5 linked regions of the Ovis aries genome follow. The protein of the gene in region 1 interacts with the protein of each later gene in a biochemical or structural test. Links are inferred from orthologs where the notes say so. Each region holds a gene or a part of one and is shown in the gene's direction. Other genes may lie near its edges. The genes, in order: EID1, EP300, NR0B2, RB1 and FBXO21.

What was found.
Region 2: the proteins of EID1 (region 1) and EP300 form a complex in vitro, tested with the Homo sapiens proteins (3 studies listed by BioGRID). The link is inferred for Ovis aries from reciprocal best matches to the Homo sapiens genes EID1 and EP300.
Region 3: the proteins of EID1 (region 1) and NR0B2 form a complex in vitro, tested with the Homo sapiens proteins (3 studies listed by BioGRID). The link is inferred for Ovis aries from reciprocal best matches to the Homo sapiens genes EID1 and NR0B2.
Region 4: the proteins of EID1 (region 1) and RB1 form a complex in vitro, tested with the Homo sapiens proteins (5 studies listed by BioGRID). The link is inferred for Ovis aries from reciprocal best matches to the Homo sapiens genes EID1 and RB1.
Region 5: of the proteins of EID1 (region 1) and FBXO21, one has a biochemical effect on the other in vitro, tested with the Homo sapiens proteins (2 studies listed by BioGRID, with this or other methods). The link is inferred for Ovis aries from reciprocal best matches to the Homo sapiens genes EID1 and FBXO21.

What each region holds. Positions count from the first base shown.
Region 1 is NC_056060.1:59,480,004-59,483,610, reverse strand, and holds EID1 (EP300-interacting inhibitor of differentiation 1), read left to right. Parts: upstream 1-1,364; 5' UTR 1,365-1,407; coding exon 1,408-1,983; 3' UTR 1,984-3,092; downstream 3,093-3,607. UniProt on the Homo sapiens protein: Interacts with RB1 and EP300 and acts as a repressor of MYOD1 transactivation. Inhibits EP300 and CBP histone acetyltransferase activity.
Region 2 is NC_056056.1:218,165,863-218,169,378, forward strand, and holds part of EP300 (histone acetyltransferase p300), read left to right. Parts: intron 1-651; coding exon 652-813; intron 814-3,194; coding exon 3,195-3,476; intron 3,477-3,516. UniProt on the Homo sapiens protein: Functions as a histone acetyltransferase and regulates transcription via chromatin remodeling. Acetylates all four core histones in nucleosomes. Histone acetylation gives an epigenetic tag for transcriptional activation.
Region 3 is NC_056055.1:240,027,495-240,031,612, forward strand, and holds NR0B2 (nuclear receptor subfamily 0 group B member 2), read left to right. Parts: upstream 1-1,486; 5' UTR 1,487-1,523; coding exon 1,524-2,064; intron 2,065-3,022; coding exon 3,023-3,264; 3' UTR 3,265-3,611; downstream 3,612-4,118. UniProt on the Homo sapiens protein: Transcriptional regulator that acts as a negative regulator of receptor-dependent signaling pathways. Specifically inhibits transactivation of the nuclear receptor with which it interacts.
Region 4 is NC_056063.1:18,567,346-18,570,861, forward strand, and holds part of RB1 (retinoblastoma-associated protein), read left to right. Parts: intron 1-78; coding exon 79-242; intron 243-2,353; coding exon 2,354-2,384; intron 2,385-3,516. UniProt on the Homo sapiens protein: Tumor suppressor that is a key regulator of the G1/S transition of the cell cycle. The hypophosphorylated form binds transcription regulators of the E2F family, preventing transcription of E2F-responsive genes.
Region 5 is NC_056070.1:57,955,900-57,959,415, forward strand, and holds part of FBXO21 (F-box only protein 21), read left to right. Parts: intron 1-281; coding exon 282-439; intron 440-3,516. UniProt on the Homo sapiens protein: Substrate-recognition component of the SCF (SKP1-CUL1-F-box protein)-type E3 ubiquitin ligase complex.

The sequences.
Region 1 (3,607 bases):
ACTTGTAATTCCACCTTTCCGCTTCTAGGTTTTTACTAGAGAGAAGTATTGGCACACGAAGATATTCATTTACCCATACAATACAAAAAAAAAAAAAAGGAAAATTCTTTGTGCATAGTTAAGTCAACTACAGTATAGCTACACAAACAGAATACTATGAAAACATGTCTGTGTATACTAACCGCTAAATCTACAAGATTTAGGGGGTTTTTGCTTTTTTATAAGTTGAAGGCAATTATGTAAGACGTTAAAAATATAAGATTTTTCCATGAGACTTAAAAGATTCACATAAATGCACGGGAAAAGACTTACAGAACACACAGCAAATTAAGTGTAAAGTCACCTCCTGCGGGGGACAAAAATGGGCCCATGTATTTCTTCTCTGCATATTTTTTAAAGAACACCAATAATATGCTTATTTGTGATTTAACATTTTTTAAATGAGAAAAATAGAAGAGAGGGATGGATGAGTTCTTAATATGCTGATGTATGGCTAAGAACACCTTGTGGTTTTCAGGTGCAGATTTAGCGGTTATTAGCGAAGAGATAGGAGAAGGGAATGGCAACGCACTCCAGTACTCTTGCCTGGCAAATCCCATGGACGGAGGAGCCTGGTAGTCTGCAGTCCATGGGGTCACACAGAGTCGGACACGACTGAAGCGACTTAGCAGCAGCAGCGCAGAGATAAACTTAGTTAAAACCTTGGAGCAGAAGCGACTGCCTGGGGATGGAGGTAAGAGGAGCGGCAGAAAGAGGAGAGCGAGAAAGGAGAGGGGCGAGAGGGGAGGAAGATTAAGGGGTCTTCAGTTCAGTTCAGTCGCTCAGTGGTGTCCGACTCTTTGCGACCCCTGGACTGCAGCACGCCAGGCCTCCCTGTCCATCATCAACTCCCGGAGTTTACTCGAACTCATGTCCATTGAGTCGGTGATGCCATCCAACCATCTCATCCTCTGTCGTCCCCTTCTCCTCTCGCCCTCAATCTTTCCCACCTTCTGTAAGGGGTCTTACAGAAGGCATATAGAGTATTTTCAAGTTTATAGCCTCATAAGCAGCAGAACGGTTAGGTAAGGTGCCAAGCAATGCACAGCCCTAGGTCTGAAATTCGAACGCACGGAGCGCAGACCACCGAGCACTGGGAATGTCCCCCAGAGGGCGATGGGGGGCACTCAGTTCAGTTCAGTCGCTCAGTCGTGTCCTACTCTTTGCGACTCCATGAATCGCAGCACGCCAGGCTCCCCTGTCGATAACCAGAGCCGCGCTCTGAGCAGGAGGCGGTGTTTGGGGGTCGCGCACACGCACGAGGTCACGCAAGCGCACGGCGCTTGCGCAAGCGCACAACCGCACGCCCGCGTATATCCGAGCTTGTGGAAAACGAACGAATTGTGGGGAGGTTGCGCTGCTTGCACTATGTCTGAAATGAACGAGCTGTCCGAGCTCTATGAGGAGAGCAACGATCTGCAGATGGATGTGATTCCTGGTGAGAGTGACCTTCCGCATATGGAGGTAGGCGGCGGGAGCCGGGAGCTATCCCCGAACCCCTCCCGCGCCGGGGCCCCGCCACAACTGGAGGAGGAAGGCCCAATGGAGGAGGAGGCGACCCAGCCAATGGCGGAGCCACAGGGGCCCCGAGGCCTCGCTAGCCGGCCCAGCCCTGGGGAGCAGCCAGGCCAGATCGCGGGCCCTGATTTCGAGAGCGAGGACGAGGGCGAGGAATTCGATGTCTGGGAGGACGACTATGACTATCCTGAAGAGGAGCCGCTCAGTGGTGCGGGCTACAGAGTTTCAGCGGCCCTTGAAGAAGCCAACAAGATGTTTCTGAGAACCTCCAGAGCCAGAGAAGCAGCTCTGGATGGCGGGTTTCAGATGCATTATGAGAAGACCCCGTTTGATCAATTGGCTTTTATCGAAGAGCTTTTTTCACTTATGGTTGTCAATCGTCTGACCGAAGAACTCGGCTGTGATGAGATCATTGACAGAGAGTAGTTAAATGCTGTTAAGAGAGGAGGAAGCTGCTTGAGGAGAGACCCAACATTCCACTGTCTTTTGAGTTCATTCCAAATAGTTCTGTGCCAATGAAAAACTTAATCTTCCCCCCCCAAAAAAAATTTTTTTTTTTTTGCTGAGTAGAATAAGGTAGTGACTGCACAGTTATGAAAAAGAAAGAAAATTGTTAAAGAAGAGTATCTTAGTACTGTTGAAACCTGTTTTCAAGAATGTCCAGAGACACTTATGGCTTTGACTTTGTTGTTTATTCAGAGTAATTTCCTTGCATTGAGGAAGATAATCTTTTCATGTTTCACTGTAAGGAATGGCTTTGCAAGAATAAATTATGACCAAGACAGACTGCCAGTACCAGAGCCCACTGATGATAATTATATGAGAAAAAGTAACTGATGTATCCATTTTAGGACATAAGATGTCTTTGAGTTATTTGGACTGAAAGCATATTGAGAAAACTTTAAAGATTCAATTTTGTGATCTATCCGAGCTGTGGTTAAGGCTAAATTTTAAGTGTAAAATAAATCTACCGAGTATTCTTCAGTATCTCAAAGGATAATCTAGACCCAAAAGAAGTATGTGTCTTGTGTGCTATTAAAATGTGTTTCCAAGAACAACTGAGATTTTGTTTGTACATATATCTTGATCATTTTTAAAGCTACTGTAATCTTTAATTCAAGAAAATTCATTGCCTTGAACATATTTTAAAGTCAAAACTTAAGACGTCCTTAATAAAGTTTCAAATTTAGACTGTAAAATGTACATGAAGGTACAAAGAACACAAACTCTTGAAACATCTGTATATACTAGAGAATTTTCTGTTTCACTTGCTCTCTTTTTTTCATTTAACTTTACAGGCAAAAGACTCTGGTTGAACTTCATAATGTAAGAACTGTTAAATGAACATTGTCCAGTAAAAGGAAAGCCCTACATCTAAAAAAAGACACTATGAACAACCCTTGAAAGTTTTAAAGGGTTTTCTACCCAGAAATCCACCTCACTATCTGAAGTTTCCCTCTGTCTCCTCCTCTAATTAAGCTTGCTTTTGGTTATGCACCAGCATTCAAGATAATAAAGATTTCTTGTTCTCTGTATTTTATTTGTTTGTCTAATTGTATAATACTTTCTCTAATTCTACTTTTTATTTGCTATACTGTTTGATTGTGTGATTGCAACCATTTTATGATTTAAATTTAATGACTTATATAAGGGAAAGTGCTCCAGCTTCAAATACCGGATTACAAATTAATTGGTGTAAATTAAACTTAGTAAATTCCTATAAGAGAATTTGCCAAGCTGGGAAAACCTGCCAAATCAGTAAGCATCTCATGGTGGTTAGTAAGATGCTGAAGTTCTATGAATAATATAATTAGAAGGCTGTGCCCAGTGAAACTGAGTATACCAGCATGTCTTAAGATTAGTAAAAATGTACCAGATGTTTTTGCTGCATTATGGCAGTAAAGGATACATCCACTATAATAGGACAACTCAGAGCCTTACTTATGTTGCGGTCATCCTGTCTTTTAGGGAAGGGGGTTCTTTTCTGTATAATACAGGGCTGACAAGGATGATCATAATTCAGACAAAGCTTGGCAGGGAGAGGAGCAAT
Region 2 (3,516 bases), on another chromosome or scaffold:
CCAGTCCCCCCTACAGAAGCTGCCTTATAGCAGGTCATCTGACAAGGTCAGATGACAAGGTTTCCTTGTCATTTATTTCCCTGCAGTATATGTCGGTTGCCCTTGCTGAGTCTGAACTACTGAAATCACCCTTAGTCTAAGAATTCTTTATAGCCTGCAGTTTAGACTCCTTGATTGAATGTTTTTCAAGGTGTTTTTTGTTTTTTTTAAATAGTCCATGAAATTTTGGAAAGTGAGTCGAAGGAAATAGAACCAGGGCCTTTGGCTCCCTACTCCCATGCACACTTCACTACCTGCTGCTCACTCCTCTCCATCCTCAGATTTGGTTTGGGCTGGCTCCACCTGAGGTGTCTCCTGGTCCGCAGCTTCCGCTGGCCAGAGACCTAAGGCTGCTGTTGTCTAATGAAGAGAGATCAGCAGAGAGATTTTTCAGTGGGAGAAAATTAATGCAAAAACATTAGTAAACCTTAGTTTACAGCTTTAAAAAGAAAGAGGAGCAATGAAGAGAGAGCAGCTGTTAGAAGGTTATGATCTATTGCTCCATCAGAAACTTGTTCTTAACAGTTACTAACAAATAACTGTTCTAAACTTGTAAACAGTCTCTTAGCAAAGAGTTACTAACATTTCTTGTTCTCTCATGCTAACCTGCAGGTGACAAAGGGTGACAGCAAAAACGCTAAAAAGAAAAACAACAAAAAAACTAGCAAAAACAAGAGCAGCCTGAGTCGGGGCAATAAGAAGAAGCCAGGCATGCCCAACGTATCCAACGACCTCTCACAGAAGTTGTATGCCACCATGGAGAAGCACAAAGAGGTAAGAGAACAGCCCCCAGAGTAGGAAAACCAAGGCCAGGGTCCTCCAGAACTGCCCACCATAGTTGGTATTTATGATGTGAGCACCAGATCATTTGAAACTCAGAAGGAAGAAAATCATACTGGAGAAGGAAATGGCAACCCCCTCCAGTACCTTTGCCTGGAAAATCCCATGGACGGAGGAGCCTGGTAGACTACAGTCCATGGGGTCGCAAAGAGTTGGACACGACTGAGCGACTTCACTTTCCCTTAGGAAAAAAAAAAAGAAAATCATTTGAGGGAGAAGAAAGCAAAAAGAGGGTAGTGAGAACATGAAATGGTAAGGTATCTTACTTAGATCTGTAGCTGTTACAAAGCTATATGGTGTTGGGAGAAGTGTAAGCAGTTTGTCTGACCCTATTGTTTGTAACCGTTTTATGTTTGTGTTTCTGTCCATTGTTCAGAAGATGGGCTTGTTGGATATCTTTTGGGTATCTTTGTGCTTTTGCTTTATACCAAAGCCCCTTAGAACTCTATTTGGCCATTCAAGTTTCTAATGGAACTTTGGCGAAACTAATGAATGTTTTGCCATACTGAAAGGGAATTGGCAAATGGAGAGGACTGAAGAAAAGTTAAACTTTGATATATGCATTCATGAATGCCTTCACAGCAAAGTTAAAACTTGGAATTATTTCATTATTGGATATTTGTTGTTTGGGAATAGAACTGAGTATGTTGGGGGTTTTTTCCCCTTCAACATTATTGTTGGTAAGATGAGGCCTTTTGAAGGGTCATGTTGGTTTGTTTAAACATCTGTTTATCTCCATGTTCAGACATCAGGTTCTTACAGGAAGAGGCTATTAATGTGGAGAGGGAACTGATGGTTTGATTTTAGGTGTGGAACTCTGTCATAACAGCGATTAGGAAAGGCCCTTAGAGTATGTTGTAATAGGTATGACTTCAGTTGTAGATACATCATCTGAAGAATATGTGGGTAGTAGTCTCCTGTTAGGAGTTAGAATCTAATGTAATCATTTTATTAAATTTAGGTATTGTTTTAGCTCTAGGGTGACATTCAGCAGTCAGTCACGATGGCTGTTATTAGAGGTTGGCCATAGGGAGTCACCAGGTGGTTTGATCTGCCCCCACTTGTTAGATACAGTACTTCCCTGTGTGTGATCACATTTTCAGGACACTCCTCCTCACTCTGTGAGTGCTTGCTTTGAGCCACAGTAGCAAACCCAGTATCACAGTCCCCCCTTGAGCTTTTAACTCTGGCTTTGAATGTCTTTACTCAGTGTGGATGCTCTTGTCCTGTGTTGTTCGTGGCGTGTGCAATCTTAGTCCCATGTCCCGTCTCCCACCCCCACCCGGGGCCGAACCCATGCCCTTGCAGTGGCAGAGCAGTGTTAACCACTGGACCACCAAGAAAGTCACTGTGTTCTTTTTCTAGACTCTTGTACTATGCCAACATTGCTGCCCAGATATATAACAAATATTATTGCCAGTTTGCATAGATTTTCAGCCTCAAAAAAATGGACAGGTTATAGTGGGCAATACAGCAGTTACAAGTTCTTGATCTCTTGAAGGTTCCCTTTTACATTTTATTATTACAGAAATAGCAGCTTCCTCTTGCAGCCTTTAAACCAGTGGTTATGGGAATCAGTGGTTGTGTTGTGTTTTTAAACAAAAATTTTTTGTTTCTGTAGCAAGGAAAAAGATTTTGCTTTTTTATTCTTCCCACCCCTACCAATTTTTTTTCCTTCCAAACTTACAGGAAAGTACAGAAGATGCCCTCCTGTTGCTTTCAGCTAGATTCATCAGTTAACGTTCTACTACATTTTATTTCAGTAAGCTCCTTCTAAGACAGAGGACACGCTCTGCATAAGCGTGCTGTGACTTCACACTCAGGAAACCTCTCCCCTGTCACCACCTCCCATCTGCTCCTCTGCTGCATGTTGAGTTGCCATGTCTCAGTTCCTGGCTTTATTTTCTTTAATGACATAGGCATTTTGTGAAGACTCCAGGCCAATTGCTTTGTAGAATATCTATCCGTTTGGGTTTTTCTGATTTATTTCCTTATAATTAGAGTCAGGTTAAACCATGGATTGCATCTTAAAAGTTGACCTCTTTGAAGTAGAATGTCCCCTGTATGGCCCTGTGTTTGACCATTCTTCTTTTGAAGAATTACTGAATGAGATAAGATGCAGATGTTTTAGGCCCACTGTAGTCAGTTTCAAAAAAGAGAACAAATGCATGAAGCAGGAGAACGCGGGCTGTGTCGTGGAGCCTTGCAGGGTGGCCACAGAAGGAAGCCAGGCCTCCCGGCCCCCGGGTGCAGAGCCTGGCCAGCTGCCTGCAGTGCTCAGTTCCAGAGTCCAGAGGGGACTGTCTGTGTTGCAGGTCTTCTTTGTGATCCGTCTCATCGCTGGCCCTGCCGCCAACTCCCTGCCTCCCATTGTTGACCCCGACCCCCTCATCCCCTGTGACCTGATGGATGGGCGGGATGCCTTTCTCACCCTCGCAAGGGACAAGCACCTGGAGTTCTCATCACTGCGAAGAGCCCAGTGGTCCACCATGTGCATGCTGGTGGAGCTGCACACCCAGAGCCAGGACCGCTTTGTCTACACCTGCAACGAGTGCAAGCACCACGTGGAGACTCGCTGGCATTGCACCGTGTGTGAGGTGGGTCCCTTGGCGGGGAGGGCTGGGGGATTCCAGGTAC
Region 3 (4,118 bases), on another chromosome or scaffold:
AGGTGATCAACCTAATTATAATTTATCAAAATCTACTTGTGCTTTTTAAAAAAAGATTATTATGCGATTTTAATTGCATGAAAGATGCGTGCCTGTCTGTGGGCCTATTTGCCTTTGTTCCTTAGTCAGGGGAAGGGGGGAGCAAAGTCCTCCTCCAGTATGCCAGAAACTGCTTGGAATTTGACACCACTTTGTCCTCACAGCATAGCCCTGCAGGCAGGCACTATTCTGAGTGAAGCTCTGAGGCCCGCAGAGATTTGGGGTTCAGCCCACAGTCACACAACTAGGAAGACAGAGAGCCAGGAGAGGATGTCAGGGGTGGCGACAGTTGCCCAACAGTGTGTCAGCAGAAGGCTTGCCAAGCTGGCCTTGCCAAGGTCCACAAACCTGACATAGCCAAGGACCTTGCCACCAGCATTCACTGCCCAGGCCCCAGCATCCGAGACAGCTGCCTGGGGACAGAGGAGCCATGCAGCTGGCGGCCGAGCAACGTTTCTGTCCAGATCGTAAGTGGGCAACGTCTACAACAGTGAGGTGGGGGCCCAGGTCGTCACCAGCTCTGGCTGCACAACTGGGCCAGTGGGTCCAGGGGTACAAGCAAGGATTTTGGAGTCAGACTGATCTAGGCTCTGTCTCTTTTTAGTGATGTGAACTTGGACAAGTCACTTGACTTCTTTGAGTCTCAAAAAGCAAGCATTTTGCCTCAGAAGGAAGCTCTGAATATTAGAGTGGAAAGTGCCTGGCGCATAGTAGGTGCTCAATAAACAGTAGTATTTCATCATCATTCTGCCAGGGCTTCTCAGCAGACAAGGGCCCTTCAAGAGGTCCAGGCTGGGGAGAGAGAGTTCTTAAGGACCTTATTTTTGCAGGCCTCTCCGCCACCCAGAACTTGGGGTTAGAGGAAGGGGGCCTTCCTCCAGACTGCACAGCCAGGCAAAGTCCTCCCAGCACCCCCAGGATCCTGGCTCCCTTCCCTGCAGCCTGTTCCTTACTAACAACAGGAGCAGGGCCTCAAGGTTAGGCAAACAAGCAAGTGATAAGGCGCTTCCAGGTTGGGCCCTGCGTTCAAGGCTCGTCGGCTCTGGGGCTGGCTCCCCTGCTGAGCGCGAGTCCTGCAGGCACCAATGGGGACACCTGCCACGGCCACCTGCTGATTGTGCACCTGAGGCCTTGGTGCCCTGGTACAGCCTGGGTTAATGACCCTGTTTATCCACTTGAATCATCTGATAAAGGGCAGCGGGGCCAGCGGGCAGGCGGCCCTGTGCCCTGCACCCGCTGCTTCATTGACTGAAGTGATATCGGGGCCACGTGGAGCTCCCAAGTCTCCCTCCCCCACCACTTCCCCCTGGGTCCTGCCAGGGTCAGTGTGAGTTTCTTTTTTTTTTTTTCAATGAACATGACTTTTGGAGTCAAGGTTGTTGGGCGGTTCCCCCCTCCCTCCCCCATTTGGGGATATAAATAGCACCCACAGCACCAAGCCGAGGGTGGGAGAGCCAGCAGGAAGGCAAAGCAGATCCTCGACCATGAGCTCCAGCCAGCCAGGGTCCTGCCCGTGCCAGGGTGCTGCAGGCCGCCCGACCATTCTGTATACACTTCTGAGCCCCAGCGTCAGGGACTGGCCCTCCGTGGCCCCAGCCCGCGGCCGCTGCCTGTGCAGGCAGCACCGGCCTGTTCAGCTGTGTACGCCCCATCGCACCTGCCAGGAGGCCTTGGATGTTCTGGCCAAGACGCTGGCCTTCCTCAGGAACCTGCCGTCTTTCTGCCAGCTGCCCTCCCAGGATCGGCGGCAGCTGCTGCGGGGCTGCTGGGGGCCCCTCTTCCTGCTGGGGTTGGCCCAAGACACTGTGACCTTCCAGGTGGCCGAGGTCCCGATGCCTAGCATACTCAAGAAGATCCTGCTGGAGAAGCCCAGCAGCGGGGCAGGCAGCAGCCAGCGGCCCGATCGGCCCCAGCCCTCGCTAGCTGAGGTGCAGTGGCTACAGTGCTGCCTGGAGTCCTTCTGGAGTCTGGAGCTGGGCCCCAAGGAGTATGCCTACCTGAAAGGGACTGTCCTCTTCAACCCTGGTGAGATCCCAGACACTCCTGGATGAGGGCCAAGGCTGGAGGGGGGCAGGGCTCAGCCAGGGAAAGACGCATTCTAAGGACTTAACAACTGAAATCCCTCTGGGTCCTGATTATCTCCAAATAGCCATCTTGCAAAACAAGCTCAGAGAGGCAAAGCGACTTGCGAAAAGTCACATAGCCAGGTGGGGGAAGAGAAAGAATGGGGACTCAGGTCTACTGATGTCAAAATCTAGTCCTTACTGCTCTGCTAAGAAATTTCCCTGACCCTTAGGGCAGAAGGGGAGGGGAGGGTGGGCAGACTATGCCTCGGTCACGCCTTCATGAGCAGACTGCATGGAGAAGTTCTGAAGATGAAACTGCGGTTTCAGAAAGACCACGTAGAGAAGAGAAATGAAAATGGGGGTGGGGAGGGGGAAGAGGGAGGAGTCTTCGTAAATTTCAGCCAGGACAACAAATAGAGGAAGACTTCTTTGTGATCTGAAAGGCGCTTAGATGAGAAATCATCAAAATGCCCCCAAGGAATGCATGATCAGAGTAATTCATTATAGTAATAGCAAACACTCGCATTACATTTACTGTATGTTAGGTCGAGTTCTAAAGGTTTTATATACACTAGCTCATTTAAACCTCATAACAAGCCTAGGAGATGGGTACTATTATTTGTCCCAGTTTTATCAACGAGGAACCCAAGGCACAGAGATTGAGTAAATTTCCCCAAGGGCACACAGCTAATAAGTGACAGTGTGGGATTAAAAGCCAGGCCCCCCAGGGTCTTACCCATGGCTCTATCCTGCGTCTCCATGAAGGATGGATAAATGAAGTGAAAAATAAATAAATGAAGGAGGTAGTGATGGGGACTCAAAGGCGCCAAGCTGGTGGCCTTGGGTCTTGGGCCAGTCTTGCCCTGTGGTATTGGAGTAGGCCACTCAGCAGCCATCTTTGCCTTCTCTGTCCGCAGAAGTGCCAGGTCTCTACGCCTCCTCCCACATCGGGCACCTGCAGCAGGAGGCGCACCAGGCACTGTGGGAGGTCCTGGAGCCCTGGTGCCCAGCAGGCCAAAGCCGCCTGGCGCGTGTCCTCCTCATGGCCTCCACCCTCAAGTCCATTCCACCCAGCCTGCTTGGAGATCTCTTCCTTCGCCCCGTCATTGGAGACGTTGACATCGCGGACCTCCTTGAAGACATGCTTCTGCTGAGCTGACCTGCTCCAGCCCAAGCAGGGCCTGGGTGGAGGCTGGCAGCGCTGATTTGGCCGGGCTGTCCCCTGGGTGACCCAGTGCTCCCAGAGGCTTCCCCAGAGCAGCTGGCTCCAGCCCAATCAGGTGGGCCCTCACTCAGCCACATCCCACCTTGACCCTCCTCAGTTTGGACACAGTGCTCCAGCTGTCTGGCCAGCCCTTGGTGGTTCCAGAGCCTCTGGGCCAAGACTCCTCTCCCCTCCTGGGGCAGGGTAGAAGTGTCCGCTGTTGGGCCAGGAGTTCTACTGACTTTGTACGGAACTGACTTAAGTTATTGGCTTTTGTAATAAAAGGTGTGACACCCTTGGAACCTGACAGTGTAGTTTGTACACGTGGAAGGGACTGGTTCATCTCCAGAGTCCCCCGGCCCGCCAGAGGAGCCCAAGAGGAAGGAGCTACAAGTGACACACAAGCCAGAACTCAGGAAACTGGAGTTTTGATTTTTCAGGGTGGGATGCTGATTTCATTTCTGGCAGTGAGATTTATTTTACATGGATCTGATCCAGGAGTTAGTATCAGTTCAGGACCCCACACATCCTTGCCCTTATATCAAGGGGTAGGAGTATCCCTCCCTGTTCCTCAAATCCCCTGCTGATCCCTCCCTCTGCTTCTGCCCCAGCCTCCCTCTCACCTCACTGAGAGTCACCAATAAGGAAAATGAAGCAGCCCATTTCCAAATTGAAAGTTTCCGGGAATCTCTGTCGTGTGGGATCATTCACTTCCCCTGTGGCATCACCGACCCAATGGACATGAGTTTGAATAAACTCCAGGAGTTGGTGATGGACAGGAGACCTGGCGTGCTGCAGGCCATGGGGTT
Region 4 (3,516 bases), on another chromosome or scaffold:
TATTTGGGCAAATCTGCTTATAAACCAGTGGATCTCACTGAAGTGTTAAGTAACCTCCTGCTTTTGTTTTTGCTGTAGCCCCCTACCTTGTCACCGATTCCTCACATTCCTCGAAGCCCTTACAAGTTTTCTAGTTCACCTTTACGGATTCCTGGGGGGAACATCTATATATCACCCCTAAAGAACCCATATAAAATTTCAGAAGGTCTGCCTACACCGACAAAAATGACTCCAAGATCAAGGTTTGTGTTTTCTTTTTAGGAAAGCGGTAACAAATGAGAGGGGTTTTTTTTCTTTTTTAATCCAAGCATAAAACCATAAAGCTTTCTTTATTTAGCTCTAGTCCCTAATTTCCTAATTTATATTAAGTGCCATGATAAAAATAAAAATCGGAGGTGTTGGGGGCGAGACAATCTGTTTACTTAGATGGGTTTGCAAATTTACTCATCAACTTTCCTGGCTTCTTGGGTCTTTTATAAACAATCTGAGTACTAGTTTGATCCTAAGTTTCAGATCACTCTCAGAGTTTTTTAAGTAGCCACCCTGCTAAACAAAGTAGATTCCTTTTGCTAAGAATTTTTATTCTAGAATTTATTGAATGTCCTGTGAACTCTTTCTGTGGTTCTGTTCATCTTGCTTATGAAAATGTAGATGACTGATTAAATGTAGATGATGGTAAATGAAGTCTTTAGAAGTCCATCCCTACTTCTGCCTGCGGCCTCCTTGTATTACCTTGGGCAGGTCTCTGCTTCAGAAGGCTGCTGTGGCTCAGGTAAATGATGAGTGTGAAGCTGTTTTAAATTCTTAGATGAAAGACTCCGTGCACCTACAAATCATTATGTTATCTTCTGCATTCAACAGTGGGTGCTCTCTGGCTTTGAAGTACTTCAGCTGACTTATTATATGCTATCATGGGCTATTTGAATCTGACTTTATTTGAATAGTGGAGGCAGATTAATTAGTAAAGTTAATGTAGTCTCATCTCAGAAATTGTTAGCCCATATAGTTGCACTTAATGGGCAAGAAAAACAAACAAGAAGAAGGGGATATATTAATCCTGTGAAAACAGTGTAGTGTGTTTACTTATATAAGCAATGCCCACTCATAAAAATTTCAAACTGTACAGTAAAGGGAAAAGTAGAAAATAACTGGCAAATGATATAAATGCTCCCATGTGCCCCTGTGTTATTTTCTATATATTTAGTGTTTTTATGGTTGAGTATCTATGTGCTGATATCTACAATTTACATTTTAAGCTGCTGAGGTGCATACCATGTCTAATTTATACATTGCTACAGGAAAATGTATACTTAGGTAAATTTTTAATGATGATAATTAACCCATATTATGCTGATAATGATAGCTACTTGCTGATCTTAGTTAATTCACTTCAGGGTTGGAGTCCTTTAGCAAAAAAGTCACATTCTGAAAATCCTGATCAGCTATTAAGAGAGCATCTTAACACTCTCTGTATTCACCATATTTTGGTAAATTATATAGAATGATGGCTACTTATCAAAGAATTGGAGAACAATAAAATCCATATATCTGTTGATTCCGTGTGCATATGATCACATCTTTGTCATATCAGGCTAATGTTCTTCAGCTTTATTATCAAATGCATAAATTATATGTTTCAAACAGGGACAAACTAAGAGATTTCTGATTCTAAGATATGTGTTAAATGTTGTTTTAGTTGCTAAGTCATGTCCGACTGTTTTGTGACGCCATGGACTGTAGCTCACCAGGCTCCTCTGTCCATGGGATTTCCTAGACAAGTATACTATAGTGGATTGCCGTTTCCTTCACCAGAAGATCTTCCCAGCCCAGGGATCAAACCTGCGTCTCCTGCATTGGCAGACAGATTCTTTGTCATAGAGACACCTGGGAAGCCCACATGTTAAACCTTTACCATATATCAGTATAGATCCTAAATAGAATTCAGATTATCATTTATACCATATATAACTTGGTTTTACCAAATATAACTTGACTTTTTAATGAGAAAATGTGAAATAAATTTGAATTGTTTCCTTACTCATTGATTTATGAAGAGTTAAGTATGAGTAAACTTAAAATTTTCTTTTACCCTCTTTCCTTGTGAGCAATGGCAAAATATATTCTTGTAGACATGCAGTTCTTGCTTTAAAAATCTAAGGAATGAGCTTAGTGTGTGACTAGACTAGCACTACCAAAATTAGCCTTTAATAAGTATAATCTGTCAGTGGTTCTAGGGGTAGAAGAAACCTTTGATTTGGTCTTCCTGTGAGTTCAGAATGACGTGTGTATGTTCATCTCTGCATAGTTGTATATGATTTGCATTACTAATTTGTATTTTATATTAACTTGACAGAATCTTAGTATCAATCGGTGAATCATTTGGGGTGAGTATTTTTTCTGTGAATTACTATAGCATGATACCATAATTATAAAAGAATTTGAAATTTTCTGTAATTGAATTTATAAATGCTACTATTCAAGTACCTCATTCAAGCATGTTGCATAAAATTGAGAAGATATATATATATCAGATTTATTTTCAAATCAGGTTTAATTTTAAATCATATTCATAATTGGTGTATTTCAAAACTGCTTTCTAAACACCTTTGAGATTATATGTGTATATACATTAATGTATATACATACAAATATGTATGTGCATTATATAGTCTCAAAGGAATGTTTTAAAAAACAGCTTTGAATTTCACTAATTGGGAGTATGATTTAAAGTACTCTAAAATGTAGCCACCACGCCCACTTGTCTCCTTCTGTACATATACACATTTTTGCTTTTCCTTCCTCTCCAACTTCTAGGATATTCTTCCCTGGTAAATTGATTAGGAATTGGTTACATGCCCCAGTGTAAGTGACAGGCTGTGTGGTGGTCTTTGTTGCAGAGGAATCTAGGGGGAAAGTTAAGCTTTGAAATGGTTATTCTAGTCTGGGAGCCCACTACTCTTAGCTGGCCTTTCCTTACCATCACTAATTCACAGTCCTATATTCAGTGAGCATTACTGAATGTTTCATCCCACCACCCCCACCTATATTTGTTATTTATTGCTGCATAACAAACCACCCCCAGACTTAGGCATTTAAACCTTTTGAAATCTCATTCCTTGTGGCTCACTGAGCAGGCCTGGCTCAGCCGGGTCCAGGGTCTATCTGTACGAGGCTGCGGTCAGCATGTCAGCTGGATCTGCAGTTATCTCCAGGTTCACCTGAAGGACCACCTTTCTCAGTCAGACTCACTTGTATGGCTGTTGGCCGATCCTTGATGGCTGTTGGCTCAAGCCAACATCAGTTCCTTGACACCCGGGCTTCTCCCTCGGGTGGCTGGCTACTCACAACAGAGAGGAGGGAGGGGAAGAGGGAGATAAGCAAAATTGAAGTCAGTCTTCTTGTCATATTGGAAGTGACTTGCCATCACTTTTGCTGCATTATTTTATCAGAAGCAGGACAACACTAGGTCCAGCCCCACATTCAAGGAGACAATTAGTGAGAGCCATTTTAGTGTCT
Region 5 (3,516 bases), on another chromosome or scaffold:
AACTCTGAAAGGCAGTGAAGGACAGGGAAACCTGGCTTGCTGCAGTCTGTGGGGTCACAAAGAGTCGGGCATGACTTAGCAACTGAACAGCAGCGGCAACGAGATAGAGTGAGCTTGTCAATAAGAGGGGTTCTTAAAGAGGTCAGGAGTGAAATTGATTCAGCGTAGAGTGAAGGCAGGTAGATCTGTAAGAACGTGAGCCTCGGAGAAGCCACGCCATCGCCTCTGTGTCCCGCTCCCCCATCAGGAAGCTGACGTGTGGCTGCTCTTGTGTTGATCAGGTACGGCTATAACTGTGTCATCTACGGCTGGGACCCCACCTGCATGATGGGCCACGAGTGGATCCGGAATATGAACGTCCACAGCCTGCCTCACGGCCACCATCAGCCCTTTTACAACGTCCTGGTGGAGGACGGGTCCTGTCGGTACGCCGCCCAGGGTGAGTGGCGGGCTCTGTCTGTACCTCAGACACACGTTTGAGCACTCGGATACTGCGGGCAGAGGTGGTCGGTTTGAGAGTCAGCAGTTGTCACACAGCCATCAACCTCATCAGGGCTGATACTCAGCTAAACATAGGTGGGTATGTATTTTTGCAGCCATATCGACCAGTTAGCTGGTCACTGCCCCGGGGTCTTCGCCCCTAGTCACCACCACACCCGTGTTCCAAGCTGTTGCCCACTTCTGTTCTGATCGGTCATTGCCTCTGCCAGCCCTAGTTTCTGAAAGTCCTGTTTCCTAGCCACTGCCTTTGGCTCCCTCCAGGCAGGGAGGGCCAGTCTTTGCCCTGCCCATACTGCCTGCCTGGACTGGAGGGCACGGAATGGGCTCTGCGGGGGAGCCGCCCTGCACCCTGAATCTGGCAGCCAGCAGAGTGGTGCTTGGGAGAGCTACACCCCCAGTGGCCGTCGTGGGAACTGCAGGCCACAGCTCTGGCTCTGAGAGCAGCGGGGAGTCAGTGGGTAGGTGCTTGGCAGGTGTTAGGGGCCACTGCCTGCCCTGACAGGTGCGCACCCAGGGCCCTCGTCGTCTTTGCCTCTCCGTTTAATGGGATGAGTTTATTGCATGCCTGCCTGTCAAGGCATCCACATTGTCCCTTTTATTCATAAAAATTAACACGAATGCTTTGCGGTGCTGCTCTGTGACAGCAGCCTTCCGATGTGTGTGAGCTTCTCTGAGAGCTCTAGATTGCCGTCATTGTTGTCGTCATACGCGTTTGATACGCTAGGAAATTGAAGCATGTTGAGATGTGTGAATTTTACAGAGTACGAACACAGGCAGCTTGGCAAAGAGCCTTCTGCCTAACCATCATGCTGAACCTTTTTGCATCTCACCTAAAACATAAGGTTTGACCTAAGTCAGTATTATGTTCTGGTAAATCCAGTAATAGAAATGTTAGATGTATAAAAATCTCAGAAGTGCCAACAAGACTAGAAAAGGGCTCATGTTAATTACTGTTAATTCATCAGAATATGAGAGAGGATCTTATAAAAGAGAACTTCCCTTTATTGAGACCAGAGGTCACCTAATCTCCATCAGCACTAGGGGAGTTATGAGAGGGGTCAGCGTGTACCCCATGTCAGACGGAGATATTGACAGTGGTTTTATTTAACATAAGAAGCTGTGTCAGAAAAAAAAATCCTACGAATTTTAGCAATCAAGTTATTTGGGAATTGCTGAATGATTCATGGCCGGTTTGCTCCCCCACCAATCACTCAGTGCGCATTTCAGACTGCACGTCATGGAGCGCATCACGAGAACAGAGGACACTGTCAGCTCTTGGGGCCGTGTCTGCGCCCGCACCTTATCCGGTCATTGCCCATTACACGGGGTTGTTATGAAGACTTGTAGTATCTGATATTTGGGTGTCTAGAAACAGCGATATTAACTTTGAAACAGGCTTTTTAGAGTAGGTAAAGCTGGGTGTTTGGTTTCAAGGTGTTCTGAATTTGTCCAGTGTCCCAGCGATTCAGGGATGCATCCTAATCATATCTGGGGCCAGCATGTGCTGTAAGGCTCCCTGCAAGGATACTGTAACGACATTGTTGTTTTATAAATGTAGTATCTGCTTATCAGTTTCACACTCTCTAAAACTGAGATCGAAGGATCACAGGTAAAGGTAGCAAATCGCCCTTTTTAAGGTTAGATGCTGGGACCTGCAGGAAACTCTTGGGACTGAGCGTGGGCATCCCTGTGTGATGCTGCTAGTACTTTACTGGCCTGCGGTCTGCATTTGCCCAGCACGTGTGTGCCCGGGGGTGCTGGGCTCCGGCATTCAGCGCTGAGGAAGAGCTCTGTCATAGCCCCCAGAGGCCGGCCCGCCCTGCCCTGGGGGGCGCTCTCCTCAGGGTTCTTCACAGGCCTGGCCTTCACTCCTATGCGTCCTTAATGGTTGTGTTTGGTTGTTATGTCTCTGTTCTCTCTTGGTAAAGAACAGTTCCTCAGTCTCATCTTTCCCCGCTTTTTACATGACTTTCACTTTTTTGAAGAGTCCGGATCAGTTGGCTTACAAATTGTCTTACCAGTCTGGATTTGTCTCACTGTTTCTTGGCGTATTGTCTGTAAACCAGAAGTTAATCTCAGGTTGTGTTAGATGGAGTTGGGGTTTTTGGCTGGTGAGCTTGCTCTCGCGTGCTGTGTGTTTCACGCTGCGTCTCATCCAGAGGCCGTGGGGTTCCATGTCCACTGTCAGGGAGGCGGAGTTTGGTCACTTGGCCAAGACGGTGACACCCTGTAAGGGATAGTGTTCCATCTGCAGTTAACAAGAAATCCATGGGGTCAAACTATGACCCAGTCCTGGGTATAACCTGTTCCCCAGTGATGACCTTTGTCCTTATGTCTGTTTTAGCTCCTGTTGGCTCTTCCTTCCTAAATCATGATATGAAAGTTGTAAGATGGTGATTTTCTGCTGTGAGTGTGCCCTCTAGTGAAGCAGAGCTTTGCCTCCTCTTGCTTTCCTCTCCACCGCCACCTCTCTCCTCTCCTTTCGCTTGCTGTCTCCTTTCTCTCTCCTTCCCGCCTCCTCGCAAGGATTGCTGGATTTTTTGTTTAGTCAATGTGTTATAATCATTTGGAACAATTTTATGCTCAGGTTAGCCCACATTTAGCCAGGGAGTGATCTTGAGAGGCTACATTTTAAAAACACTTATTTAAATATATTTTTGAACATATATGAGTTAATACATTTGCATTAAATTATTTTTAAACTTTCATCTTCTAAATTTTCAACCTTTGGCTGCATTGATCCTGGTAATCTGGGCAGAGCCCATTAATGAATGCCTTTCTCTTTGCTCTCCACAGAAGAGTGAGTTATAAGCCACATATGTGTGTGCCACCCTCAAATAGTTTTAGCCAGCAGCATTAAAAGATGTTTTCCATCAGTATTTTAATAGGCTCTACAGCATTTTGCGTGTTTGTAATTTTTCCTACCACTAGGGGGGGTGCTTTAGTATTTTTCTGATAGCAGGAACTCCTGTCTCAGCTTCCCTGCATGCTTTTTAGATCCTGGAGAAAGTGACT